Lepisosteus oculatus: one gene and its partner. The protein of the gene in region 2 purifies or fractionates together with the protein of the main gene of each other region. This does not show direct contact. Links are inferred from orthologs where the notes say so. Each region holds a gene or a part of one and is shown on either strand. Other genes may lie near its edges.

The links.
Region 1: the proteins of cdc42bpb (region 2) and protein FAM167A purify together in Homo sapiens (co-immunoprecipitation; 3 studies listed by BioGRID and IntAct, counting the BioPlex papers as one, with this or other methods). This does not show direct contact. The link is inferred for Lepisosteus oculatus from reciprocal best matches to the Homo sapiens genes CDC42BPB and FAM167A.

Annotation. Positions count from the first base shown.
Region 1 is NC_090697.1:56,588,705-56,603,987, forward strand, and holds the start of protein FAM167A, read left to right. Parts: upstream 1-7,427; 5' UTR 7,428-7,732; intron 7,733-15,283.
Region 2 is NC_090703.1:6,633,619-6,649,117, reverse strand, and holds the start of cdc42bpb (serine/threonine-protein kinase MRCK beta), read left to right. Parts: upstream 1-7,772; 5' UTR 7,773-8,467; coding exon 8,468-8,642; intron 8,643-15,499. UniProt on the Homo sapiens protein: Serine/threonine-protein kinase which is an important downstream effector of CDC42 and plays a role in the regulation of cytoskeleton reorganization and cell migration. Regulates actin cytoskeletal reorganization via phosphorylation of PPP1R12C and MYL9/MLC2.

The DNA of each region.
Region 1 (15,283 bases), on a different chromosome or scaffold from region 2:
GGTAAAAAGGAAGGTTAAATATGTTGAATTAAATGTTGCACTACGATATTGCATGTTCACAAAGTGAGCATATGCCACAGACGTGAGAAACGGATCATCTGCTTTGCATGTAACCGCATATCAGATTTGCGCCAAGTACCCTACACACCTTATTATATTTACTATCGGGAAGTTCCAAAAGCTGACCTTTCGTGGATTCAATAAATGCATTCTACGTAATAAGACAAAATGCAGTAGAATTATTTTAAAAGATTACCTCATGCGAAAAACACTGCAAAAGTAGCAGTCCTCCGGCGGATGTCATCCGATAGAGATCATTGTTTCAATTTTGAAGCCACCAAATATTAAGAATTAGAATGGCTTTTATATTGCGTCTTAACGTTTACAGCACTTCCGTCTTTTGCAGTTTAAAAATAACCATTCAAAAACGTTTCAGATACAGCGCAATAGGCTATACATCACACTGACTTCAGTGCGATATAGAACATCAGTCAACATTTAAAATTACACCTCACGCCATCTGAGATTTAAGAAACACAAGGTTAAGAAAACGGCCATAATACGTAGTCTTTAATTTACACGATCACTTTATCCACCGATGGACAGAAGTTGCACATACTGTACACTGTAGAGCAATTGTTGATTGATCATTCTTTATTATTTTGTTACCCCAGAATTGCAACAATTAAATATACAGTGCAATGTAGCAGAATACTCAAAAGAAGCGTGTGGAGCGATAGCACTCTCCCCAATAATAATTCATAAACCTATAATCTCTCACCTTATGGGCCAAGATCAATTCCACCAAAACAGACAGACCTCTCGCACACAGGAAGTCCCGCCCTTGTTTTGGGGATAGGTTAGCTAGAAAGATCTACTGAACTGTCAATCAGAAAGAGACGGCACAGAGGATGCTTGGATCACTTTTTGAAACAAGTGCAGCAAGTGACGCTGGGTAATGAAGTGAGGTTTTTCCCAAATATTACTAAAATCATCGCGGAGTAAATCTAAAGACGGTGGTGGGGGTTTGAAGAACGTACTTTTCAAGTTGTTGAAATAGAACCCAGTTTTAAAACAAAAAAAACTTTAATGAGCTTGTATATATTCAGTCAAAGCTCCCGTTGTTTCTTTCAAACCACAATCTATTCTCTTTATAGCTATCAAACAGACATTCTAGTAAAGAAGTAGTTCAGGCTGGTAGCTGCGTCACCATGCGTAGGCTGCAAAGAAAATAGTAATAGGTTTATTCCATGCTGAAAAGAGAAGAAAGAAAACGTTTTGGCTATGGAGTCTTCTTCGGGTGTAAGAAAGATAGGGCATTCAGTCTCTGCTGACCCATTGCTTGCCCCTTTCTAGTAAACATGTTATCGCTCCTAGAAATCGATCATTTACTAACAAAGCGGATACTCGCAACATGACCGCTTTTTAACTCCAAACTCCAAACTCCAAACTCCAAACTCCAAACTCCAAACTCCAAACTCCAAACTCCAAACTCCAAACTCCAAACTCCAAACTCCAAACTCCAAACTCCAAACTCCAAACTCCAAACTCCAAACTCCAAACTCCAAACTCCAAACTCCAAACTCCAAACTCCAAACTCCAAACTCCAAACTCCAAACTCCAAACTCCAAACTCCAAACTCCAAACTCCAAACTCCAAACTCCAAACTCCAAACTCCAAACTCCAAACTCCAAACTCCAAACTCCAAACACTTGCTCCTTTCCACCTCTGTCTCTATACTCGATATACTAACGAAAGCAAAGACATACACAAACAGCTGATTTTATTCTGAAATAATCAGACTCACTACAGTTAAACACAGGTGTGGGATAATTAGCTTTTTGTGGGATTTGGAAGGTGATTGGTTACACCACAGCTAATTTACAATTGTTTTATTATGGGGTGTGTACACTTACTGTATCTACCCCATTCTCAAATAAATAAATTCTACTTAAATGTGTCTTCATTTAAAACTGTTAGATCACAAAATGTGTAACTTTGTAAATGTTGTATACTCTATATACTGTATGTCTGTGTTCTATTTTTTAAAAGAACCATCTCTAAACCAGTTCTTAAAGTATCATAGTTAATTTTCCTGGAACATATCCAATAACAAACTTCTGGTCAGCTTTTGTATACAACCTAGACTTTAGATTTTTTTAGATACTGTATAAAGGAGAAAACCAACACCTTCTATGAATGTAGTTGCACTAGCTCCAGGCCTTGAGGTTGCAGAGATTTTACTGTAGTAATTGTTTGGACTAATTAGTATTATTTAGTTTTAATTAGTAGGCAACTATTAGTCAGTTTTAAATGGCTAAAAGCTGGCCATGGAAAGACATCAATATTGTTTTCTTATAGTTTTGCCACTGTGGTGACCCTTTGGGTTCCAGGATGTTACTTGTCTCTTGCAAAGCTGATTTCATAGTTTATCTAAACTAGTCTATTATTCTGAGGAAAGAGAAAATGATAAGGATGAAGCAAATGTTTCCAAGTAGCTACACAAGCATTGAGACTTTAGTTTTGACTTGAGGCTTTGTACTAACATGTATCTTACTGTTCTTAAAGAAACATTAACTCCTGTATTTGAAGCAAAGTAATTTTCAAGATTTCTTCTGAATCTCTACTATCTCAAAGAAAAGAATATGTGGAATGTTACATTAGTTTTTGAATGTTTCTTTCTTCCTTGACCTCTTCAGTTGTCAAGTGTGTCAGTTTCTGGGACGGGTTTGAAATACGAACCTCCATTAGAGTCTTTTAACATTAAATTAAATCAATGAAATTTTACTGCAATTTCTCAATAAGAGTAGTCTTAATACGCTTAAACTGTTATTTTTCTGTGCTCTTGTTCTGTGAAATTTTCTTCCCATATGCCATTGTGTTCACCACATATTTAGAAATCTATAGTGGTATCAGTGCCTAGACTAATCCAGGCTTCGGGGTGGTATAGCACTAGCACAATATAACAATATATCAATATAACACCATATTAGGTAACATTTCACAAAAAAATGTTGATACCCACTCTTTCCTTTGCTTGCATAATTATTGCCGGTACTTTTACAAACTCACATTTCTGAACAACCACAAATGCAATGCAGTCTTATAATGCAGGACCTAATGCAGACACCCATGCAGAAGTATGACATTTGCACCATGGATAGAAAATATGCACAATTACACTGTGACAATAAATAGTAATAATTCTTTTAATATAACGCCCTGCATACAGAATATCACTTTGTGAATCTGGGATTGAATTGAACCAATTTTGATTTTTTCCACCAGAGGTCAGTCACTCCCTTTCTTCAGTGTATGATCTGAACCACCCTCAGAAAGATCTTCTGTAAATCCCAGCGCATGTCACTACAGTAATAGATTTGATGGAGTAAAAGTCAAGTCATTTTATATACTGACACCATCTAGATCACAACAAAGTGGTCAATGTTAAAAACAATGTTGGATATTGATCATTATAATATTCATATATCTGTTTTACTATATTTTGAACATTATGTTTTCTGTGTTTATCATACTGTATATGTTAATTTTATTTTATTTTATTTTTACATTGTATCTTTACAAAACAAAATCAACAAAGTACCAGATAGTACAAAGTGTAGTACTAAGAAACCTATTTCAATGTCTTCTGTGCCAAAGTAAAATGTAATTTATGAACATAACACTACTGTAGAGTAATAAATGTTTTTTAAATAGATGTATGATGTCATCGATGTTGTGGTACTTTCATCACACCCCTACCCTTGGAATTGAAAAGCTTGATCTTACTTTGAAGTACCTCCAAAACACATTTTTATTTCCTTTTAGTCATTATTAGTCTCTTAGGCTTTTACCACCTTCAGATCTCACCTATGCTGCATTTTTTACCATAGCAATCAAGTATTCTCATTGAACTGACCTCTTCATTTTAAACCCAATGCAATTATACACAGATGATCCATCATAGTTTACAAAATAGCTAAAATTAAGATTTCTTCCACTGTTCAAATACACTACTGGATTACTATTTTCCAGGAGACTCTTCTTTAAGAGTAAACTTTAGAGAATCAAAAGTTCATAAAGTTCATCATAATGATCACAAAATCCCTAGGGTTTTTTTATGTTAACTACACCATCCAAACTTGAGGTTTTAACCAGTTGCAATATTTGGTTTATAAAGCAGCTTGAGAGGTCGTGACAGGTCGCCTGACTGAGTTGTATGAACATAACCAAAACATATAGCTTGATTAAAAGGGCTGGGTTTACGTAGAACGGGGTTTTTAAAAAGAAGCCTTAATCTCTGAATTCAAGCAGGGGAAGAGGCAACAGCAGACTCACTCTTTGAGCGCAGCTTTGCACTAAGAACCTGAACCCGTGACAAGCTTGCTCTTGTCACCATGAAGTGTGTTTTGGAATGTAATCAAATACATGATTAAAAATGCTGGAGCTTAACAATTTCAGGCTTTAGGTTGAAAATCAAAACTCTGACTCAATTTTAAGAACAGTTTAAGAAGTAGATCATATGATTAGTTTTTCTGTAGTTGGAGAATTCATGGCATATTTAAGGCTAGATGGAAGGAAGTGGACATCAATTGAAGTAAATATATCCACTGACCAACTTTGACCTTCCTTGAACAACGTGTTGATATGTCAGACCCTTGAAGCCCCAGACTCTTGTATTTTAGAGGCATTTCACACTCCTTTCATGTATGATGGAGCCTTGCACAAAGCCAGTTAGCACTGCTGCATCACAGCTCTTTGTCCTATTTTCTGGCCTATCGTGCCTTCTCTGTGGAGTTTATATCTTCTCTCTTTGTCCGCACAGGTTTTCCTCCCTCTTGCTAGAGATATTCTGGGTCAGCTGTCTTTAAATTGTAACTGTGTGTAAGCATCCTGTGATAGACTGGCAAGCTATCCTTAGTACTTAGTATAATCTCGCCTTGTGCTCCATTCTTCCTGGATAGACTCCAGATTTCTTCAAACATTATCAGGAATAAGTGGCCTTCTGATAATGGATAGATGGATGAGACAGAATGCACAGAGTGTGCTACAGTATGTATTAAAACAAGACAGGGTCATTACCTTACCTATATTTTGATACTACAAATTATAATGCTGAGCTACCCAGAACTTCTTCTGGTTCTTACTGTAACACCTTTCACTGATTACTGTAGTATTGGAAGTTTGTACAGTAATTCCTTGTATAAAACTAAAAGATAATCCAGATTGTTTCCTTTGAATTAGAGCGGTAGTGCATTACAGAACAAAACAATTAATACAAGTATTTTCAATAACGTTTAAATTAGATGTTTTTTTTTATTGTAGAAGGTGTGCTTATATGATTATGGGTGATGTCAACAAGTACAATTTAAATTTCATTTTATGCATTACAGATTTCCAGATTGAGATGCAGTTCTTCGTGTTGCTGTTTTATGATCCCATCTGTACCTGATTTTCATGGAAATGTTGGATATATCAAATAATGCAGCTATTCTGGGAACAGAAGCTGTTCACATATTATCTCTAATGTCCATTTTAACTAGATCTACTCTTCAGTGAACCATAGCTCTTAGTACACTGTAGAGCACATTTGAAGAACAATGATAGTCTGGGCCTGTTTGCTTTCTTAAGAAAAAGACAAGGTGTTATGGTGGAATCATTACCCTTGTGGAATGAGTTTTTGTAGTGTACCTAAAATACAGGGTGGTTTTCAATCACTAGACAATGTCTACAATATTGTAATAATTTAATAAGTTCTGAAATTCATTCCCTGTTTCGTACCATGTTTGAACACACAATTACAATCCACAAGTGGTCAATTAAATTATGCAATAAAACTCGTAGTATGAAGAATGAACACCAATAAGAATCGTGTTCAATGCTGCTATATTAAATCTCTGTAGTATACATTTGCATGCTAAATTTTTCATGCACCCTGTGGATAGAAATCGTACAGTGTCATATCACGTAGGACTAGTGCCACAACAGTCCAACAGTTCTTCACTAAATATACCAAACCTCTAAGATCAAAGGTTTCAAGCAAAAGAAAACAGATGCTGCATTCTATTCTGGTGTAGCAGATTTGATACCCATCTATACATATTTCTAACTGCTTCTTCCAGTTCAGGGTCAGGGTCGTGGAAGAGCTGGAGCTATCCTGGCAATCAACAGGCGCAAGGCAGGGGACACCCTGAAATGGGATGCCAGTCCACCGCAGGGCATACTGACACCGAGGACCAATTTTCCCAGAAGCCAATTAACCCACCTGTATGGGTTTTTTTTTTTGGACAGTGGGAGGAAACCCATGCAAACAAACAAACACCAACAGAGACAGCAACCTGGGTCCAGTACTGGACCTACAGTCCCAGCACTGTGAGACAGCAATAGTAACCACTGTCCCACTGTGCTGCCCACCACCTTTAAGATATGTACTGTAATTAAAGTGTATAAATAATATAAATTCATTCATAATTCAATTTTGAAAGCTTGTAATGATCAGATAAAAAAAATGTTCTATAAATGTCAGGCCAGGCACCTCAAATACAGCATGTCTGCGTTCATCACTACAGGGCTTCATTTAAACACACTTAAGTAACCCTTAAGTATCAGCATATGCAATAGACTTGACTCAGCTTTGCTAAATAATACAGTTGAATGATTTCAGAGTAAAGACAGAAACTTTCCGATGTTTTAGACTTAGCATTCCTGGTCAGTGATGTAACCTGTCTTCCTTTAATTATCTGCTTTATAAAATTACATAATATGCAATGATGGAAAAAGAGACTAAGGATAAAAAAGATGTTTCCCTGAGAATAACAGTCTCTTTATTTTGTTTTATAACTGTGATTTCTGAATATTCCTTGGTTTATATTCTTATACTCATAAGTTTCTTGCTGGGTTAAATTAAAACCAAGTTCAACTGGCAAGAAAGAGCTGTATTATGTTTTATAGGAGGACTTTGGAAGTCATACAATATCAGTTGCTTGGTCTTTATCTCTTAGCTCATAGTTGAACAATTCATTTTACTCAGTTTATTAAGGTAAGTGTTTACCAGAGTGTAAGCTTGTGGTGAGATCTGTAAAGCCTAAGGAACTGTAGCCACCAGGATCACGGCTTCCCACCGCTATATCAGCTGTGGCCATTTACTACCTTGCAACAGGCAGCAATTACAAAAAAGAGGTGCGGTAGGAGTGTGAGAGTAGTGAATTACTCAGTCTTTAATAATACCACACTAGTTAGTTTGAAAGAGAACCACTTATCTCGAAGTAGCCCTTCTAAATTTAAATATAATTTTAATATTTCGTGTAAATATCTGGGGAAAGCTAAATTGTGGTTAACTACCCATCAGAATTTCCATTCGTTGATAAACATGGACGGCTTTAGGACACAGTAGATGCTGTATGATGCTGCACCGTTGATTTACGATTGGCGAATGCATCCAGGGAGCAACAGCAGATTGCAGCAAGTCACAGGAGTGAAAAGGGACCTGTCCGGGATTGCTAAACTGTCTCTAGGCAACCAAAACCTTACGCAAAGTCCCCCTCCCATGCTTCTCAAGATTCAAAAAGCAAAAATGAATGAATAAAGAAGGGTGCCGATTGGTGGGATCCGCATTTTTCGAGCTACAATAATTAGCGAGTGTTTTATTTCTCCAACAGCGATTCTTCAAAGATATTGCAGTGGACAAGCAGATGGAATCAGATATGCATCACCTTTCTCGCAGATGAGACAGGTGAGTCTGCGCAGTTTTTTTCTGATTCCCCAAGGTGGCAAGCTTAGGACCGGAGAAGCCTACAGCCGCTAGGCATCAGCTTTCGAAAGCAAGAATTTCAGATAGGTCTAGCAATGCTTGATAAAATAGTGGTAGTACTGTACATGCAACATCAATTACCGCTTTACAGCAGTAATTCTCACGCTTACCACAACCTGTGCAACAAATAATGTATTTTTCTGACTAGTCTAACTGTACGGTGGAAGTAACTTGAAAGGAGACACTAGTGCATTTTGCGCAACAATCGTGTTAAATTCTAAAGTGCTGCATCTTCGTTCGAATTACATTTCAGATATTCAGGCTGCATAGTAAAAATTAAAGAAGGATAATTTTAAATTACCTTTTTCTGTCTTAATATGGTTCTGGTGTTCGTGTTACCTGACCATTGGTAAACCAGTTTATATACAAACATTTTAAACAATGTAATGTATTTAGGTAAAAAAACCCTGTGATTTCATGTTATTGGAAAGGCAGATTCTTTGCACAATTTATTAATAAAACCATTTTCTTCACTTATTGTTAATTATTCCTTAGGACATTATAATTATTAGGGGTATACGTTACTGTCGTTTAGCTTTATTGGCGTTGATTTGCTTTTAATCGTACATAGCTGTGTATCTATTGTTTATTTTATTAAACCTAATGTTCTCAGCTGTGACCTTATGAAAGGTGTTCATGATGGTTTCACGTGACTTGCACGTTAACAACGGATTAGGATGCTTGGCTTATTCCAGTTGTTTCAAGCCGATAATATCATTGGTGCTCTGTGCAAATTGCCAGTGTCTTAAACACATTAGATTCGTAGTTAACTCTCAGTGATGAACGCTTAAGTGATACACTGTCGCACAATATTGTTGTTTGGTGTGCAGACAGCACGAGATTGACGTGCCTCGCATCTGTTAGTCACCCTTAGCTTATTATTACATGTAACTTCATTTCATAAGCAATACAACTTTCATTTGACTTCCTAGGTTAAGTCACGCTACACTGCAATCCAATAGTTTCTAATTACAAGAAAGTATAACTCTTAAACAGTTAACACGGACTATTTTATGTTTGAATGCTAATTCAGTTACAGTAAATGTGAAGATGATTTATCTCTCACGCTCTAATGTCTAGTATTCTTCAAAAACATGTGTTTCCTCTTTTGCTGATGTACTGTAGTAGGATATTCCATGAGACTGAAAGCTCTTAATGTAGTTTACCTGGTCTAAATGCCTGATACTTTCATGTTTCATGAATGGGTTTGAAAGCCCACAAATGTTTGGACTTGTTGAAAGTGAAAATTGTTACAAAATAAGGATTTGTAGACCTTGTAGGCTTGTTTTTTTTATAAGTAATGTAAAACTTAAAATTCAAGATCCTGCAGATCTGTGCTGGAAATTAAAAAGGAGAGTAATATTAACAGTAATGTTTTTTTTTTCCTACAGGAAAGTGAGGAAAAATCACTTCTCATCAATAGTTTAAGAGTTTTAAGATGATTGTTGTTCACTTGAGCACTTTATTATGTGACTGCATACTAAATTGACCAATTTACCAATTCAATTTTTTGAATTGTTTCGAGTTTTGGAACTGCTGGGTATTAATTTACCTCCAAAATCCATCACTTGAAAAATTCCCCTATTTGAATAATAAAAAAAATCAAATGTACTTTCAGTCTCTAAAACAAATTAATACCTTAGTTCAGAAAACTGGATTGAAAACTGCAGACACTGGGGTGAGAACTAAGACTGGGAAACCTTGTTTTATGAACATGGCAGGGGGGGTCTGTCCAATCTTAGACCTGTGTGAAAAGTTACAGACATTAATTATTGACATAATTGAACCAATTTATCAACTTATCCATGATATTCAGTTGCTGGTGAGAACTACTGAGACTTACTGTACCATGTGAAATCTGTACACATACCACCCCTACAGGACCAAAACTGAGGACTCCTGTTTTAGGGCATTAATTGACTGCCAACTGGAAGCTTTTAGATTAGTGGACAAGGCTGCGATCTGTTGTTGTGAACTTGTTGTGGTGTAACAGTTTATACCCTCAAACTTTTTGTGTAAATTTCCACATTACTACAATGCCTTAGTCTTGAACACCATTGCATTTGGCAGGAGTTTTCAACCTTTTTATAATGGTGTATCAGTTCTGTCCCAAAGCGTCAGATCAAGTAACTCCTTTATACTGTAGATCCTACTGAACGGATTAATTCTGGCAGTTTAACAAGCGAATATCTTAAATATATTTGAATGTCACTTTGGATCTGAAGCTATCAAGTAACTCCCCATTGTCCATTATAAGACAGGCATACCTAAAAGAAGCTAAATTAGTTCTTAAGACATTTTTTTAAAAGTCTCTGATAGTTTATAGTCTGCAAAGTTATTTATTCAGTGTGCACTGTATAATTTATCATAGCATTTGCTTCTCTCTTTACTAGGTAACATCAAAAACTGTTTTAACAACGAAACCTTGCTCACATCAACATACTGTAAATACATGTCCTAGGAGTCTACCAATTTCTTTCTTCAAATTTAGCTAATTCTACAATTTTAGATTCGTCGTTAGTGTGCTACTCCGTCTTGCTTTTTTGATCCCAGGACCAGACAATGAGTTTCTTGGTGATTCCTAGTAATAATTTGCAGTTGTATTAGTAATAACGGGGCGACGATGATGGCCGAGACTCAGTTAAGAGCAAATGCTCTAAGGTTTCCTTGGAGGTTAGCCTGGTTTCTCACCTGTGACACGTTTCTATCAGGCTCGAGTTCATTGACCCTTTGCGAATTGCAGTGCAGTCTGTTAGTTCTGCGTACTCTATTTGGTTGGACATGTGGATGTCTTTAATAAAAAATGGCTTATTTAATGTATTTTAATTTAATGTTTTAGTTTTGTAGTGCTGTTTCGGAAATGTTTCGGGAACCTTACATGAAAGCGCTACTTTTTAAAACTTTCTTGCGTTTTTTTGCTACTGTAGATCACATTACTTTCCAAAAATGTCTACGCTAGTTTCTATAGTCACGAGTTTTACTCATCATGAGACGATTCACATAAGAGGATTTTCAGGGAGTGTTTATTAAGCCCACTGTCAAGTCAAAGAATGCACGATTCTTACTTAAGTTTTGATTATCTTTCACTGAATCTACTTCTCTTTCCTGTTTTGTGTTAGCTCACAATTGTTTTGCAAGAGCCATAAAATGTATTTGACTGAAATTAAAGATACACGGTCTGGAGCTGGTTTAAGAGGGTGACCTGGATCAGTATGGATGAATGAAAGCTCACCGAAAAGAAGTCAGGCATGCTTATAAAGTACATTTTGTGATAAGTTAAATTCATTTTGTAATTAAGAGCACAGTGATGAAGGAATACAATTAAAACATTATAAATGGTAGCCTGTGTAAACACCCAATTGAAAATCTCTTAAATACTGTATTGTAAACACTTGTTTCACAAGGTATTAAGTATACACTACGCTAAAAAGAGAAGACCACATAGATTCAACAAAGGACTGCATTATATAAATTCCCTGCCAGTCAAAGCAGTCATGCTTCAAGTGAAATAAGACTGTTGTTCTTCTCTTAATCGGTATTTGCCCTGGCCTTTTAGGGCGTTCCACCCTCTGAAAGTATGATAACATCATGAGAAAAGAACATTCCCAATATTGCCGAAGAAAAATGACAAAGACACGGTCTTCAGTTAGGCACCCTGCTGCTCTGTCTGGAGTCTCTGCCAACTGTCTTGTGCCAGATCACATTCTTGGAATACAATGTGGATTCATGTCAAGTGGAAACTCCATCTACATTACTGAGTTTTATGATCTGAGTTGCATACAAAAAAAAATTAAATAGGTGCTCATGTGAATCTTCTGTTTAATCATAGGGCTTTGAAATGTTTATTGGAGTTGGTCACATGTCTGAATTTATAACTCCATGTTTGTAAGAACCTACGTCAGTCATTGAGCCTTTGAATCTCAAGGATCCAGTGTCTGGTTTAATGGGATTCCCAAAGTTGTGTGGTATAGTGTTGTGTATATGTAAGGTTGATTAACTTATTTTATTATCATAATCTGGCTGTTACAGTATCTGTTTACATACTACACAAGTCCACCAGTGAAGAGATTTTGCTGGATTATCAATCGGTTTCCTTCAAGGTTCTCCCACCAGTCTAGGTAAATCATGTCACATAATACATTTTCAATCAGGTTTTTGGAATCTTCAGACAATTTGCAGTAAAACATTAACTAGTCTTTTTTAGTGGTTGGAGGAATCTCTCGCCAACTGGATTTTAATACCTGTAAACTTTGATCTGATCAGTATGATTTGTTTTCCCTAAAACAAACTAGAACAATGGAGTTATGTGTAAATCTCATATAGCAGCTTTTTAAAACCTTTTTTTAATGGATGATTTTTAAAAGATTTACCGGCTACTTGCTATTTAAAGTTTAGTTAGATCTGATGGTATCTACCACATTTTATTTGAAGAAATAGATTTTAAGAATAATACCTTACAGAGATTTTGGGTCAATTCATGAGAAGCAGGATCGTACAATATAACAGAAATGCTGTCCATACCATAACTTCAGGGAAAAAACTAAACCAGACAATGACTGTACTTCACAAATGAAGCCAATAACTGTTAATATCTTGTGCAGTAGGTTTGGTCTGGTTTAATAGAAACATACATTGTTTCCACCAGTGCCTTCTGTAAAACTGAATCAGAGGGAGTGTACAATTTGAGATTGCCTTATCATCTCTTTTCATTCTATTATATATATTATATATACGTTCATTACCCAAATGGCCACCAATTTCATGTGTGAATGTTGTGGCAACCCAAAGTCCTGTGGAAGCATAACGCACAATGCAGAATTGCAGTCTGGACATGACACAATTTGCAGGACATGAGTGCACATACACATGGACTCTCTTATATACTGTATAGGTCATTGAATAAAATTATTTTAGTAGGGTATATTCTGACCTTGCAGCTCAGTGATGTGGTGTTTGTCATTGTTGCCTTGGAACACTTGGGCCCTGGGGTCATCTTGGGTTGCTATCTGTGTGGAGTTTGTCTGTTGTCCCTGTGTTCATGTGGGTTTCTTCTGAGTGCTCTGGTTTCCTCCCACAGTCCCACAAAAGTTGACTCTGTTGTAAGTGTGTCTGTGTGTGCCCTGTGATGGACTGGCATCCCATCCAGGTGTATCCTGCCTTGCGCCTTTTGCTTGCTGGGATGGGCTTTGCCTCCTTTGTGACCCTGAGTTGAATAAGTGGCTAGAAAATGGATGGATATTTTGACAAGTGCAGTTCTTGGAGAACCATAAGATCTCTTGGAAGTTGGTATTGGATTGTGCTTCTCTGTGAATTTTTGGGAAGGCTTTACAAGGATTCATATGTTTATTCTGTACCACAGGGGTCAGCTTTTAAGACTTCAGTACTGCTGGGGCATTTTCTTGACATCTCTTTGGTGCTTTTTTTTCATTTGCTCTCTTTAAAGGATGTTACATAATTCAGGGTTATTTCCTGATCCTTAGTTTGTTGCAATTTACAAATGCATAAAAGGACACTACAAAATGGTAAAACTTTGTGAGTAAAGTGTCAGACATGAAACAAACCATTTTCTTGATTCCTCTTAATAGTGATTCTACAAAAAAGTAACTATGTACAATACATAATTATACAACCATTAATCAGCTCTATGTCTAACTATGAATGTAGCCACATACTGTAATATGGTTGTATTGACACTTGATCTTGGTTATGTTTTTCATTATTTTGTAAGTAATGACTGCGCTTGAAAACACATGAGCTCTGAGTTAGGTGCAGTCTGTAGTGAAGTTTTTCCCATTGATACTAAATCAAGGTCCCTTTAAAACTGAGCATCTTAGCTTTTATTGCTTATTTGTGGGGGCGTCAAGAAATATTGAATAAGATTGGTGTTTGTAATAACCATTATTTGGGAATTATGTGGTTAACCTTAAAGGTAGATATTCTTCAAGTCTTAATAGATAATTTGACTGTTTTTTATGCTAGCTACTATATGAAAGGAAAGTTCCTTTAGTATTGTTATAAAGGAAATAAATATAACTTTTTGATGCAATTGTGTAATGTCATGGAAGTAGTATTTTAATAATTCTATTCAGGTGGTTAGTTTTTAGGCTTGTGGTTTTAAAATATCTTTTATTATAGTCTTACTGCTACTCCTATTTTTTTCTCTGTTAGATTTTACTTTTTATTTTCATTTTGATTGAGTTGTCTGGTTGTCCTGCAGAGGATGAACCTTCTTATAAAGTGTGGGATTTTTTTTCTGACATTCTTGTGTTAAGCCACCAAACACATCAGGAAGTAGCAAAAGAATGAGAGCGGGAGCAGTCAGGAAGTTATATGAATGGCAATGCTTTTATCAGAAAGGGGATAAGCGATGAACTTATTAATGCATGATTTATTTCTTTGTGTCATTGGGGAAAAAAGCTTGCTATACTTGTGGAACAAAAAAAGATCAAAGCTTTACTATAACTAATGCTTTTCACTTGACTTTAGTATTAAACCATATTGCCTCAACATAAGGTAGTTTAATAAAAAATAAATGCCTTATAAAACACTATTGATGCCACTTTCAAATAAATATCTATATATATTATTAATTGATTATGGAAGAATTGCTAGAAATTCCCCAGTTATAAAATTTTCAAAACTTGATTTAAATGCTGCAACTCTACGACTTGCATAGAGTGAATTAATAAAACTGCAGACTGTCACGCCACGTCTCTACACTGCTTGCTGACAGCACTAACAGCAAAGATAAAGCATCAGGTGGATAACAGATGTAGTGTATTCAGTAGAAATTGCACAATCTCCAGTATCTGACAAGCCAAAGAAATCCCAGTGCTAGTCAGTTAATGAACCAGCAGTGTTTGGAGTATAAACCCAACCTCCACTCTGTGCAGAGACCTGTACTGCTTTCCACTCTCAAGGTTCCCTTGTTTCAGAAATTTTGATTAAAAATACAGTAGGTCAAACATCTGGAACCTCTGAAGAACACACACACACACACAGGCTCAATCACTGAAGAGATAGCCAATTTGATGTGACAAAATATTGAAAATTATTTTCGCTCTCTGTGTTTACAGTTTAAGATGAGTTTGCTTCACACGATTGTATTATTTCTGATCTGGTATAGATTTTTTTTTGTGTGATTTTAATTTTCTGTTTTTCCATATCACTGGCTTGAATAAATACTTTTTGGTTGTGCAATGTTATAAAAATCTCTCTCCATTTAGATTTGATGCCATAATAGCTTGGCAAGGCAGATGCTTTAACTATCAGTGCAACAGCATTCCAGCAGTGAATTGGAAAATTATACAACGTGAAGGCCTCTATCTCCACCATATTTGGTCCTTCACTTTGTTATATCATTTCCACCCCTTTGTTTCTATCTCAATGTGTAGTGCCTTTCATCAGTTTGAAATTACCTTTCAGTTACAGGTAGAATTTAAATCTGTATCTTTTCGCTAAAATGGTATATTG
Region 2 (15,499 bases):
TGAGAGCAGTTCCAGTTTCAGCCCACAGTCCACCTGTTGCGTACTCTGATGCTCGTCTGCCTCGTTCTCGGCTGATTTGACTCCTCAGTGCCTGACGGGAGAGCCAGCGGTGACGTCATGAGGAAGACCCCGGAGCCGAGGCACGAGCAACGCTGAACACAGATCCAGCTGGTGAGCTCAATCGCCCAGGCTGAACAAATAGCATGAAATACCATCTTTTTTAGCTTGTTATACAGGAGGGAACATGGCAGACAGCCCTATGTGCGATACGAAAGACTTCTGGAAGCCTAGACTTCAGGGTCAAGTAGTTCGTTTTTTAATTATTCAAACTTCCTTTATCTCGTTTCTTTGTTTAAGAATTAAGCTAATGTAGAGAAACGCTTGTTTTTTTTTTAAAAAAAAACTTTTTATTCTTCTGGAATTGTGATGAAAGAAAAAAGAACTTTAAAATAAAAATAACTTTAAGCAAACATACTCCAGGCTGCAGATTGCTCTTTGCTTTACAATCACCTACATCGCCTGTCTGAGCCCTGCACCGGAACACAAAAGAAATGCAAATCAGAGTGGCAGGGAGAAATTTAAATGACGACCCCCCTCCCCAATGCACCCAATGCAAAATACAACATTTGGGTAACCAGGCTGTAGAGGAGCAGAGCCGAGTCTGCTCGCGCGGAGCGGAGATTTCCATTTCAATGGGGAGCGGCACGCGCCGGCCCGGGCGTTCTGCAGGGCAGGTGCGCTCGCTCTGCCCTTGAGAGCATCTCCCTCCCCCGTCTCGTCTACAACAATCACTCGCTGATCATCCCCCCCCTCCTCTCTCGCTGCCGTTGCTCGGAGTAAATATTGTGTCATTTGCTTAACTGTCGTTCCCTTCCCCGGGCATTGTTTCCGCGCGTTGCCATCAATTCTTTTCATGCTGCGCTCAAGCTGCAGGGTCTGCGTTGTCAAGCGGCTCATTACACGTTGACGGACGCCGCCCCACGCCCCACGCATGCTTGGTGCGCTGTTTGCCGCTGGGGGGCGACAGTGAGACGGGCGCGTCTGCCTTTCTCCCGCATGCCCGTGGTCCGGCATGAGAGAGAAGACGGGGACGATCTAACGAGTTCGGGTGATGACCGGTCTGGGGCACTGGAGAAGCAGGCCTTGGTGTGCTTGAAAATCCAGCAATGCTTTAATCCAGCCACAGGATCGAGGGCCCAAGCATCGCATTGGATAAAGCTGTTGAGAAAATGAATGGAGGGGTTAATACTGATAAAACATGAAAGCAGAGCTGCTCATAAACAGTACTAAGTGTAATCAAGAGTAGTTTCACTGCCTGAGCATGCTGATTTTAATCTCCGCTAAAACTCGGGGGTGAAACATTTCCTTTTGTGTCTGGGGAACCCCTGGACAGTCCCTGTGGTCTGTAGCTCTGCTTGCGGTTTCTGTGGAGGAGCATCTTCATCCTGACTAGGCCCTCTTGCGAACAGACAGTCCCAGGTCTGCCCCAGGGAGACAGGCCGCCCGCCTGCGCACCTACATTAACAACGCTGGTCTCTGACGCGCCCAGAAATGAATGCTGGGACACAAGGATGACCACCTGAATCGCAGTCGGTCTGTGTGGTTACATTTCAGGCAACAGATCTGATTAAGGCCAGTTCTGAAACCCAGAAACTGGTACAGGAGTGATACAAATTAAAAATCCCACTAGTAACTGGCTTGAGCAAAACCCAGAAGAGACAACTGTTCCCCAGAACCAGGGCTGGTAACCACTGTCCCCTTCCCCTCCTCCGCCTACTACTGAACATAAAGTAGTTCTTGTAACTTTCTTGACAGTATCTTGGGGGCTACAGTGTGTGGTTAAAGAACTCACCTCCGGTTGCACCTTGTTTTACACCAAATGCATCCATCTCTGTAATTCTTAAAAGTCCCCAGTCCCCAGTAATTCGGTTTGCAGTGAAACGCAGAAGTTCTGTTTTCTTGCAGTATTTCTGGGAACTCACCTGATCAGCTTCTGGCTTCCCGACTCCGTCTGTTGCGTACATGTGTGTTTGTCTCCCCCTGGTGGGAATACGCCACATTACCACTGATATTACAGTATTACAGCATGTCACTTTCAGATTAATTCAATTCAACTTTATTGTCATTAAACTTACACAGGTGCATAGTATAATGAAAAGTGTTTCTCATTAGTCACTCAGGTGCAGTATATAAATAGGACAGAAGATAAGACAATAGACAGTTACACAATAGCAATAACAGTAACGTAATAACATAAAATAAATAACATGTAATCAAGTAATCAAAAGTATCGATTAAATCGAACTGATTTCAAGTTAAACTTCAAAATTAGCAATACTTCCCCTTTTGGAAGCTATAAATATAAATGCATAATCATTTCAAAATGTGATGTGTATATATATATATCAAGATTAATGCATTCCAAATTTGAGCTATGTATGTGCACCTTAATTCAACACGTTATCTAAATATTTTTCTGTTCGACACCCCTTAGTAATGAGGCCGCTGACATCTGGGAGTTTTAGATAACAGTAAATATTCCGAAAACCCTTTTTCTTTCAACCTTTTAAATTCTGCATAAAATCTGGTACCACAGATGTATTTATTTCGGTATGTATGCTAACCCCTGAGGCCCTCAGATTTTACAAAGGATAACAATAATGAATTAATCTTATTTGAAATATACTATTTGTATTGTGTATGTATTGTGATTGTGCCACAATGAAGTATTATTCTACTTACGTTTATGACAACGCTGCTTTAAGAATCAAACATTCAGATCTGTTTTGACTAGTAAATCTGTATAACACTGAAACGTAATTCTTAGAATTACACATTTAAAAATCAAAGTATTTCCGCGTATCACGGTGTTCACAGCACCGTAGCACCAATCCAAACCAACAGCAATGTCATTTTCAAACAATTTTGTCCCTCCAGGTGGCGTCCTGTACAAACTTTTAATAGAAGAGAAATTGTGGAATTCCCGCGTGGTAACAAAGTTGTAATCGTAATCAGATTTTTTTTTTAAAATCAATGACGGTGAATATTTAATGCTGTAAGTCGGACATTCACATTTTTAAACTTTTTAAGACGCACTGTCGTCGGCCTGTGTTCCTTTTTGAGGAGGTGTCTGCCAGAACAATTTCAAGGACTGTGAAAAGCGCAGACTTTAAATCGAGAGCACTGTTAAAATTGTATTAAGAAACTGGTTTCTAGTAGCTCATCGATCCAAGGATCCCATCCAGCCCTTTCTTTCAGGGCACAGGCTACAACAACACTGCGGGGTGTTTTGTTCCATACACCCACAACCCTTTGTGCAAAGAAACGCCTGGTGGTCTCAGTTTTGAGCCCTCTGGTTCCTGTTTCACGGCTGATCCCGAAGAAGCCCACTGGGGTCGCCTTTGTCAGTGCCTTGGAGGATTTGGTGAGGTCTCTTCATAGTCTTCCCTATTCCAGACTAAGGAGGTTCACCCTCTCCGGCCTGTCAGAGTGGAGCCTGCGGGTGCTGAGGTTGCCTCTGGGCCTTTGGCTCAGCTCCTTTGGTTTCTGTTGCTCATCAGCTGCTGGGCCCTTCTGCTCGGGGGCTACCTGCGCTCCTCTTACGCAGAAACTCATTTGCAGTCATCAGCCACTATTCTTGAATTCAAAAGAGACTGAATTTAAACAGATCTCTTTTTTAGAAAATAGCTGCGATGTTTTTGGAATGGCTGCATTGTTTCAGACGTGGGCTGGCCTTATGGGTAAAACCCACACTCTTCTGTGGCTGGCTGGGGTTCGAGTTCCCCTGAGGACAGCGAAGGGGTACACGCAGCTGACACGGCGCTCGGCTGTCTGTGCTCACTGCCCTTCACACAGGAATGTCTGCTTCCAGGATCACTGTGCTTCGGCAGGCAGGGCGGCCGAGCTGTGGTGAATCTAATGGTCGCTGAGTTACTCATGCACGGCCAGCAGACGAACAGACGTTTTAAGCCTTTCGGTTAAGGCAGGGAATGCTAAACAAGGGCCACATACTACACCAAGCACTCCGTCACCTCTCAGGAGGACCCCTTGTCGGCTATTCACCACCACTAGGCCATTTTTCATTCTTCACCGCACCCCACATTGACTCCCCCCTGTGTTCAATTACCTGTCCACCCGTCCATCCTGGGACACCAGCCCATCCCCGGACACACGCAGAGGGGACAAGAGAGATGGATTGTGGGGAAAAAAACTGGAGCACCTGGAGAAAACCCACATGGCACCAGGCAGAACATGCAAACTCCTCACAGAAGGCACCCCTGTGCTGGATTCGAACCTGAAACATGGATCTGTGAGGCAGTAGCACAATGCACCACAACACCACGCTGTCCTACAGGACAAATTGGCCTCCCCAGTCCTCAAGTCGGGAACAAAATCTCGGGCTTAATACTACTAGTATTTTAATGTTGTCCTTTGTTAGTTTACATTGTTCGCCTTATTATCAAAACTTGCCGTTTGTCCGTCGTGTCGGGGGCTCGTGTCTTTGTCCTCATTTGCCCGTTCCCCCTTGCTCTCTGCCCGTCTCTCTTCTGACCCACTTGGAAAATCGGCGTATGTGCAGCTACATATCTGACCCGTGAGAAATGGAATGTTCCACTTTCCGTCTCTGAAAGCTAAATAAAGACCTTGACAAATGCTGAATCCGTGGAATGCAGAATTGCGGTGGGGGTGCTGGTTCAGCCAACCACCCTCCCCGAGCTGCTTGTTGTCTGAGAATGCTGAGTTACCGGCGGACTGGTTTATGACACAGGCTGTGGAATGTGAGGGGATATTAACTCCGAAACACAGGATGGACACACATGACACAGCACGGACACAGCTGAGTCACAGGACTCGCAGTCGAGTGACGCACTGCTGATCGGTCACTGGGGTGTTGAGGTGAAATCTCAAGGCCCGCTGTGCTGCTATAATGAGGTCAGAGGCAGAGCCTCACTCACGAGCTCTGCTCTAGCTGGGAAGCAGGATAGGGTAACAATGCAAACAGCCCTCATTGTCTGAAACATCTGCAATGGCAAATGCCCGTTTTCCCCTGCAAAATTGCTTCTCTCTGTTTATATTTTAGCAAAATGATTCCCCTGTCTCTGGATCAGAGTAGCTCTAGTTTGTAGTTCTTAGCACACAAAATATGCAAAACTGGAAAACATTATTTTACAGACTTAAAGTAAAACTATTGCAAGGTTTATTTATCGTTATTGGATCAAAGAGAAATATTTGTTTATTTCCAATGAAACTGCATCCAATGGTCTACTGATCACATGGTATTTACACAACAAATTAAATGGTTTGTCCCAACTTCCATGTCTTTCTCCCTGCAATGTTTGCATTTTATTAAAATGTTTTCAGCATTTTATTCTTTAAAACTGTGTATGATTATCATGTAGACACAGTGGAATTAAAAATATATTCATGCATTTTCAATACATGTACAGTGGCTATACACTGTGCAGAGATCAGTAGATATGTGTCTAGCAATGCATATATTATTCTATGTAGGTACATATAGTATCTTGCTCTAATGCCTTGCTATTTCTGCAGTGTAAAGGAGGGGTCCCACTATAGCTGTAGTAGTTGGTGAGTATAACATAACATGGCTTTATCAGCCCTATACAATTCCTTTTACAAGTCTTTTAGGAATTAGTCTTCATACTCCAGGTTGCTCTCCATGAGACACAGACAGGGAGAGAAGCTGGGGGTCAGAGCGCAGGGTCAGCCATTATACAGAGCCCCTGGAGCAGTTGGGGTGAAGGGCCTTGCTCAGGGGCCAAACAGAGTAGGATTCCTCTGCCAGCTGCGGGATTTGAACCGGCAACCTTCCAGCCACAGGCGCAGGTCCTGAGCCGCAGAGCCACCACTCCGCCCAGCTGTCCATACGGAGTACGTACCAGTTGCACAATTTGTAGGGGTGTGTGTGTGAGGACAGCCCATTGACAAAGGACTGGTGCCTCCAGTCCTCAAGGCTGGTCTCTGTGGGCGAACAGCTCTTCCCAAAGGTTACTGGGGGGTCATCACCTCACCATGTCCTACCGCCCATCTGCGCTGCCCAGGATATCCTGCCGGCACAGGAAAAACAAAAAAAAAACAGCCTTTCTACCTTTGAGGCAGGAATTACACATGATTTAAAAACTAATGGCATTGAAGAAAAACCTGTGAGAAAGGATATTAGGAAAAGACCAAGAGTGAACAGCGTTGTCATCTGATTTTCTGTGGATATGCGTCCTGGTTACTTGTTGTCGGAGAACAGGATGAGCACAGATATATGACGATGGCTATTCAGAATAATTAGGCCAAGGAGCTGTAAGAGCCTAAATAACATTGGAAATAATTTTGTACTTTTCCCTGTGTGGTAAACATGAACTAATGAAATAGCTGTACCTTACAAACACTGTTAAATAACTGTAAAATCTACCTGGTGTAGAAAAAAAAGGCTTTAGGTCAATAATCTAAAATAATGAGGAATTATGAATGGATTGCTGCCATGAGAATTGAGTTTACTTTTATTGATTATACTGTAGGCGTCCGGTGTGCCTCCAGTCCAAATGCATAAAGTCATCGATAGCAGTTAAGAATATCATAGGTTATAAAATCAAGAAAATGGCAACTAATCAGTGTGATGTTAGTTATTAGTTAGTTATTATTAATAAGAGGGGTCACTCCTAGGTCCCACGTAGCCAGCCTGGAAGGACAGACTCAATAACAAAGACTCAGAGGCTATTTATCAGAAATCATCAGCAACACAGTTATTTATCTTTTTTTTCCTCCAGGAAAAAATAAGGGATATTTACTGTCTTCATGTGAGCTGCGTAACTATAGAGAAAAGCTATTAACGTTTGAGGAACCTCTAAAATAATCTCTTAATCTTTTCTCATACCAGTTTTCACTTTCAGGATGTCTGCTTGTTTTCTTGTGTTGGGTTTTATTTGCTTTAAACGACTGGCCAGTTAACCACGCTATATCTTTAAAGTGACGTCTTATTTGTTTGATACAGGACCTTGACGGTAAAGTACACATGATAAGGTTATCTGCAGATAAAACGTATTTTACTGCAGTGCTGAGGCAACATTGCAGCTGCCGACCCCAGGAATTATAACATGGGCAAGCAGGGGTTGAGATCGCCTGCCGGAGTACAGTCTCGTTTTGAATTCAGTGTGAGGGCTACTTGAGACATTTTAATCTGCAAGTATACCAGGTCTGTTACCACGTTTCGCTTCGGGTTTCGTTTCGAACCGCAGCTTCCTTCAGCACCACTAAGTATTTCAGCTAACAGTAGATCCCACGCCATCAACACCTTTGGGAGCTGCGTATCCCCCTTGCTCAGACCTCAAGTCACGGTGCTTGCTCCAATTCGGTGGGAAAGGTGTGTATTTTCATTGCAAAAGGAGACGGTTGGCACAATGCAGAAACAAGACAGCGGAACAAAACCGGACAAACTTATTGAACAGTACAGTATAGAACAGCAAACGTATAGGAACGTATAGGAAGGCTAGCTGGGGCAGAATGCCTTCAGTACGCTGCGTTTTTGGCATGTCCACATAACACTGCTCCAAGCAGCTTGTTACTGCAGAAGCTAATAAAGGAGCCAAACACAGGGCCACCTCTGTAAATGCGTGTTTGTTCCCTTCCAGCGTACGAGCCGTGCGGTGTCTTCCAAGGGTGAAGTCCGTGCCAGCTCTCTTCCCGGCGGTTGTCAATCAGCACATGACGTCACCCGGCTCGGTAGCGTTTCCGGTGTGGATGGGTGGGCGGGGCGCTGTGGTCCCGGCCTGGATTCACAGAGAGAGAGAGGGAGGGCTGGGAAGAGGCTTCAGCCATATTCTACACACTGCCGCTACCGGGCAAGTTGGAGCCGTTCAAAGGAAGATAAATATCGTGATCTTCAGAGGCCGGAAGGGGAGACCTAGAATTCATCCGCTTGCAAAGATGTATTCCGTTTTACGGTCATGGGGATATCATAGTTTGCATTCTTAAAGCACTGCGGATGGAAGGCGTGTGTTAGCTGAGCCTCGCTCGACGGGAAAAAAAACAACCTGAGACATCCCCTCACCCCCCCCCCGCCCCTTCCGAGTGGAAAGTAGAGATTTGTTCAGGATTAGATCAAATGGGACAAGCTGGGCCCGGAATCCGAACGTAGAAGGACATGGTGGCGACGGGAGCAGCCCAGGCCGGGGGAGAAGACCGCAGAATCCCGTTTTAACAAAATGTCGGGTTTATTCTAGCTGAGGGAGTCTGGGAATCGGCAGTGCACCTCGGCCAGATAAATCCTCTGCTTTTCGCTTGCAGAGGAGGCGGCAGCAGGGTCATCCCCATCCCCCGGCGCGCTTCCCGGTGGAAATTTGTCGGGGGGGGTGCCCGATTTTCTTGGAAAGGAGCGGAGGAGAGAGAAGGAGAAGGAGGAGGTGGGGAGGGAGAGAGGGGGGTTGCGCAGGCTGTTATACCACCGCGGCGTTAGAAAATGTCAGCGAAGGTGAGGCTGAAGAAGTTGGAGCAGCTGCTCCTGGACGGGCATCAGAAGAACGACAGCGCCCTGAGCGTGGAGACCCTGCTGGACCTGCTGATCTGCCTGCACAACGAGTGCAGCAGCTCGCCCCTGCGCCGCGAGAAGAACGTGTCCGAGTTTCTGGAATGGGGTGAGTACGAGCCGGGCGCTCCGGGCCGGCGTTCCCGAACTCTCCGGGCCGGCGTTCCCGAACGCTCGTTCCGCGGAACCATTCTGTCTGCCGGGACCCACAGCGCTGGTGACAGCAGCCGGGCCTGGCTGTGATTTACACGGGCTCTGTCTCTCTCTCTCTGTGTCTGTCTCTCTTCTTCGGGTCGCCGAAGGGCCCTGGCTCCCGGCTCCCCCACCCGAAAAAACAACGAAAAAGCCTGAATGGTGGTGGCCTCGATCGTTTTTGGGCCGGGCCGGGTCGGGCGTGCTCGCTCGCTGGCGGGGTTGGAGCCGAGCAGGAAACTTGCTCCGTTGTTAGGGGTGCTGCGATGCGCAGAAAGGCGACGTCCGGAGCAGCTTGCGCGGTGACACAACGTGCAGGGAAAACTGGGCTTTTTTTTTTCTTCTTCTTCTTCTTCTTCTTCTTCTTCAACGGCGACCTTGATTGAGACGTTGAAAGCTGGACCCGTTACAGTGAGGGAGAGCGTGTGTGTGTGTGGGGAGGGGGTTACGTCCGGACAAAGCGAGCACTTTTAAGTTTTGCGATATACAAATATTAAGCCTCCGCGTTAGGGTCACCAGTGAATGTCACCACCACCACCTCCGGCGGTCTTGTCCGTGCGGAAGCGCCTTGTGCCTTACTCGGGGTTTACTCCCAGCGTGCGAACCGCGCCGGCCTGTGCTCTGAAGTTAAAGCGCCCCAGCCGGTCTTCAGTCAGGGGGGCGTTTTATCTGTGCGCCTCTGGGTTACAAAGCAACAGACTTCGGTACAGCCGGCAGCTTTCTGAAGCCCCCAGGTGTGGAGTTAAGTACTTCGTGGCATTGGGCATGCCTCTCTTTCTCTGCAAGGGTACTGACAAAAGCAGACACTCCACCACCGGTAGGTGGGTGGCTGGAGAACGTTTTGGTCTTCGTTGTTTTAAGACGGGGGTCAGTACGTCACGACCCGTCTTGAATCAGGGCCTTCGGATTCCCTGATGTTTTGCGAAGGGTTTCGGGTTTAAGAAGCCAGGTGAGAAGGTTTGCCGAGGTGTACACAAGGAAAACTCCACACCTACCATACACTCGCATGTGTGATAGTAGATGATGTTCTCTGGATGAGAGCTTGGGTCGCTGGCAGACTTAAGCGCCGGGAGACTGTGGAGGTAGGCAGGCGACTTGTGCTGGTTCGACAGACGCTTGGGATCACTGGCCAAGCTGTCCGGTCGCTGTCCGTGCAGGCGCCCTGCGCCGGCACCTGGGTGCTGTTCCGTCTCCGGCGCTGGCTCCCGGCCGGCCCCGGGATCCACATCAGCGCACTAAGAGGATTGGCTTCCTGGAGCGCCGTGCTGACGTCAGCGATGGGATTACACACCGTCGGATCTGCTCCCCCAGCTCCGCGGCCCGGTGCTTCCCGGCCCCCGCGGGAGCTGTCTGCCGGAGCGGGAAAGGAGGGAGAGGACACAGGTGCAGCCTGGGCCGGCCAGGGCTCCTGCAGGCCTTCTGTTAACGGGCAATGAACCAGCGGATGGCAGTTTCCATTTTCATCATCATCATCATCATTGTCGTTCTTATTACTAATCTGGCAGGAGGACGAGCCCAGGTACGCTTGGATCCGCTCAGATCCCGGGAAGCGGACCACGCAGCGCTTGCGTCCCGCTGCTGGGAGAGAGAACTGCCCTCCCAGCCGCGCGTTCCAGGTCCCGGATCACTAGTGCGGCCCTGCAACGCGAGCACAGGCGTGGGCGTCTCTCGGAGCTACAGGGGCACCGCGGAGTTCTCACCCACAGTGCAGTGCGGAGGAGGCGCTGTGCTGCGGTTCAGTAGTGTCGTAACCGTCTCCTGTAACGGCAAGGCGTGTTAAGGTTCCCCTTAACACCAGAGCGACGGAGCGATGCGGAGGGGAGATGCGGCCTTTGGCCCTGGCCCGCTCGTCCAGATGGCTCTATTGATCCAGGGCTTGTCCGTCAGTGGAAACAGTTGCTCAGCGGGTGGCTACGTTGTCTCCCCGGAATTCTGTTCCGTACCCTCGCCCGTCCCCGTGTGGAGGGCAGGAGCGCCTGATCTGCCCCGCGGCGTTCTCGTGGGCCAGAGGGCGCAGTGGTGCCCTGGGGTCCAGCAGTAGAAATCGCAGCCCTGCGGGGCTGACAGGTATTTGGCTGGGCTGCTGTGGTGTTCCCAGCGCCGCACGCTGCCGGGACATTAATAGCAGGGTCTTATCAGCTGTGTGTCTGAGCTGCGTGCAGCCCTTAAAGCGCCCTTGATAGCAGTCAAGTGTCCAGTTGTGACCAATCTGAGCCCAGTTACCATCGGAGTCCAGCCGGAGTGTCGTCTTATAACTCACTGAGCTCACAGTGGGGTCCGTAATTCGGCTGTAGTGTCACTAGCAAGAGCTTTGGTCCTGGTAGCCTTGGCTTTTGATGTGATGAATCGGCATAATTTTCGGCAGATTCACCAGGGTCTTTCGTCCCCTGGTTGTCCTGGACACTGCTGTAAATGAGCACATTTAATATATGGACCTAGTTTTCTGTACTTATGTGTGCCATGTGGATTTAGAAGAGTATAGCCTTGCCTAAGAATTGTGCACTGTTCAACTCGGGCTCGGAACTAAATAGGTCTGTGCTCTCCTGTTTTTCTGATGCAGTCTAAACCCAGGTTTTCTGGACAGTCGGACAATCGGCAGCACTCAGCTAAGTGCTGAACTGAAGAAAGAATATGAGATTCATTTTCCGTATAATGACGATATTCCCTGCATTTGTGCTTATTTTAATATTTTATTTTTCATTAGGCATTGTGCGACTCTATTAAAATTGTATTTGGAATGAGAGTGTAAAAGCTGTGCGTTAGACCTAGCAGACTCCATTTTAGAATTTAATTTCCATTCTTCCAACATTTCTTTTTTTTTTTCCTTGACAAATGAGAGCGTTCATGCGTTACAATTTCAGGCAGCATCATGGGTGAATCGTAAGCCCTGCTTTCCAGGCCGAATTAGACTCCGAATCTGCACGGATGAGTTTTGAGCAGATTAAACCCGGTGAGATATAGCTTTATCCCTGCATTAACAGCCACTGTTGACCTTCTGTGTTCACTACTGTTTGCCTGTGCTTTAATGAAACCAAGTTAATACGCCCTGTTAAGTGAATAAAATAAGCAGGTTAATGCTTTGCTTGCTTGCCTTCTAAAGATGTCCGTGGAGGCTGTGAGGAGGGCTTGCTGTGCTGTCCACAGTGCCAAGAGGAACAGGAGAGCGTTACCTGTGTCCGATAGAAATGTGCATAAGCAAGGTTATACATGAGAGGAGGCCCTTCGGCTCAGTGGGCAGTAAGGAGTTTATTGGAACAAGTAAAGGGTTATTCCATGCTGAGAAGAGAAGCAGCTCAACGTTTCGGCTGTGGAAACGTCCTCAGGTGTGCGAGCCGAAGAAGGCCCACGGCCTAAATGTGCTTCTTGTCTTCTCTTTCCAGCGTGGAATAACCCTTTACGTGTTCCTCGGCAGTCTAGGCCTGCTGACGCAGCGCCCTTGCCCGAACAACTGGTCGCTTATCGATCCAGTGATCTCACCCAGCCACATCTTAAAGGAACTCCCACAGCTTGTCCCACACTCCCGCACTCCCTGTGGATAAAGAAGCGCCTCCCGTCCTCAGTTTTCAACACACCTCCGCGTAGTTTCCACCTGTGCTTGGCTCCCCCCCCGCCGGGGCGTGTTGAGGTGTGCGGGGCCGAGACGGTGTTGGTGCCCCCAGGGGTGCGGAGGTGGAGCGGCGCTGGGAGGGACGAGGAGGCTGGGAGTCTCCTGAGGAAGAGCGGAGAGGAGGTCAGGGAGGGAGGCAGGGAGGCACACCTGCTGCAGGACCGGGTGGTTTTCTGTCAGGCTCAGCTGTTGGAGCAGACCTTACGAAAACACGGAAACCGAACAAGGAAAAGGGTTAAAAAACCCCAACAAATCGCTAGACAGAAGTTCACACCACCTCGGGGTTCTCACAACCTTATTTCCAGTTGCGCTACTCCTTCCCTTCTTTTCAGACAGGTGACAGAGGGGGGAGGGTTGTCTCGCGTATGAAGTGCTCGGCTCCAGCAGTGCTTGGGAAAGATTCCCAATGCCGCTTGTAGTGGCATTTATTTTTGGGGGGGGGTGGGGTGGATCGATTTCCCAATGTCCGAATGCGAACGTGACTGAAGATGAGCTGAGACGCGCAGAACCAGAAGAGGGCGGACATCCGGTTGGACCATCGCTGCCCTCGGCTGTGCAGCGGGCAAAACTCAGTTGGAGGTATTCGAGAGATGGTTTGAAACCGAAATCTGATTGCTCCCTTATCCTGCAAGGACCGGAGTTTTTGTAATTGAGCAGATTAGGGTCTTAATTGATTAACTTAACAGTGGTTGCCGATCGTCGGACGCGGGTGGCTTATATGATTAACATGTAGCTCTCCAGGACTGGGGTTGGGGTAGGAAGTGCTCTTTTGCCCACTTAATCTCCCCATCATGTTTCTAGCAGTACTTTATTTTAAACCAATCCTATTTTATGGCCCTTCTTCCTCAGGACTAAGTAAATCCATCACTCGTTCCTTGTGCATGTAGCGTCTTGTCCTCCCTCCACTTTAGCAGATTAGTGGTAGGAGTGTGATGCAAATGATACATGATGCATGTCCACACTTGGTGTAGAAAGAAGAACATGGAGTCGCATTTGTAAAGTAATGGGCAATTTGTTCAGGGTGGGAAAATAGGAGATTCGTCTTTGCGCAATAAAAAGTTGTTTCTCTAGAACTGGCTTCAAGTATTCAACACAAGTATTTCATTTCAGACCCTGCGAGACCAATGTTGCAGCTTTTTTTTTTGTAGCAACGTTGAGCTTCCAAGCATTGTACAGGGTTTGCAAGTCGTGTCAGTTGATTTATGCAGCCAGAGGTAAGAAACATGTGAGGAAGAAGGACAGCTGGTGCTTTATCATAGATACAGAACTGAAGAGCCAAAGTTTGAGTAGACTTTCCAGCACATTGAGCCCCTTTAATTACCAAGACTAATGTTTAACACTCCCCCAGATATGTGTACGTATATATGTATTTAGCCAGATGCAATGTCAGTGCTGTCAAGAGTGTTGTGGAAAACCTTTCCAGTTGTAGCGTTTCAGCTGCAGTGTTGCTGTCATGTGGAGGATTTTACTGGCAGCTCTGTTCTGTCTTGGGTGGGGAGTGGGAGACGAACTGGACGGTTCTTGTCTGACCGGCTGAAAAAGGACCTTCCAGCGTTGCATTTGAAGTGTTCCGTTGCCAAACCCGGAGCGCCGCTCTGGCCGAGCTTGCGTGGGGGGCTCGAGAGGACTGGGAAGTGGAAGGGAGAGGCTGTGGGCCCGAACAGCTGTTCCCAGGTAGGGCCGCGCGCCCGTCGCCATCTTTAATAAATAAGACATAAACAAGAACGCGCAGTCGATGTGGAAAGGTTTAATTAAGAAAAATAATGTTCTTGGCTGCCTTCAGCATTCTTGCTACTGAAACGAGGAGGTCTGGCAGCCTCGACCGCATTCTTGAAGAATTTATTTCCACGCGCAAAACGGGAGAATTTGGATCTGGGGAGTAGATAATTGCTGGGAGTCCTGCAGAATCGCCACAATCGCCGTACAGGCTGCCGCATTCCTTGTTGTTCTGCTCCGTGTGAAATCCTGGCCCAGTTCAAAAGCTTATACCTTCCAGTTGCTTTTGGTGGTGGGCGCCAAGGCCCGTGGGGTGGAGCCAGCAGCCCCTATACTGTAGCTGTCAGAAAAGCAAGGAAATCAGAAAGTATGTTTAAAAAAATGCCCGTCGTGGAATATATATCTTTTACAGCGTACTGCATCCGGTAATACGTTTGGTACCAAGAAAGGATGTATACAGTTAGTTACCATGTGAACAATATGGGATTGAAAGGGCTTTTGTTTTTTCTTGGCAGCATCTGGGGGAAGTTTAAAAATGAGTAACATGTGAGTCAAGGTAGCTCCTATGTTTTTGAAGCCAGTTTCCTTCAGGAAAGTGGTCACTGCGCTGAGCGTGCGCAAAGATTCCATTCATTCCATTGCAATTTCCTCTCCGGCACCAAGGCTGGATGTCCTAAGCCACTGGGGTGCAGGCGTGAGAGAAGTTAGTATTTCTTGCCTCTCTGGGGCAGTATCTTGCTCGGTGGCCCCAGTGCCATGTCCTGTTGGGTCACCGTGGCGTGTTGAGGTTTCTCAGCTGACCCCTGGTCCCCACAGATGCCAAATCTTCATGCCCTTGAAATGGTACAGATGAGTGGATACTTTGCCCAGTGAGGTTCTGCAGGAAGTAACCAGTGCCAGCCTTGGAGAGAGAGTGCAGGGAGTTCTTGGGGGAGCATGCAAGGATTCCCGGGAGGAATCCTGGAGAAGGTACACAGGGATTCCCAGCAGGCACTGCTGGAGAAGCTACAAAGGGATTCTTGGAGAGGACAGACAGCACTTCATGGGAAAGTGTATAGGAATTCCGAGGAAGACCCTGCTGGAGAGGGGATACAGGGATACAGGGTATAAAGAGATGAATGTTCTCGGAGAACATTGAGATTCTTGGTAGAGTGTGAGGAGTTTCCAGGAAGCAATGTCTTGGTAGGCAGGTTTCCCAGGAGGGTGATTTTGATACTCTTGAAGGCCTTCCCAGGAGAGTTGTTGATACACACAGTAGGAAAGATTAACTCTAACATGAAGAAATACTTTTCACTTTGATGATGCAACACTAAGGAGCATCAGAGACACTGCGTTTTGCAGCTCATTAAGCAGCCACTGCCAGATCGAACAAAGTGTAGATGTGAGCTTGCCATTGGTGTGCCTCTTCTACAGAGGGGGGGGACACCAGTCTTTAGGTTGGATGAACTGCG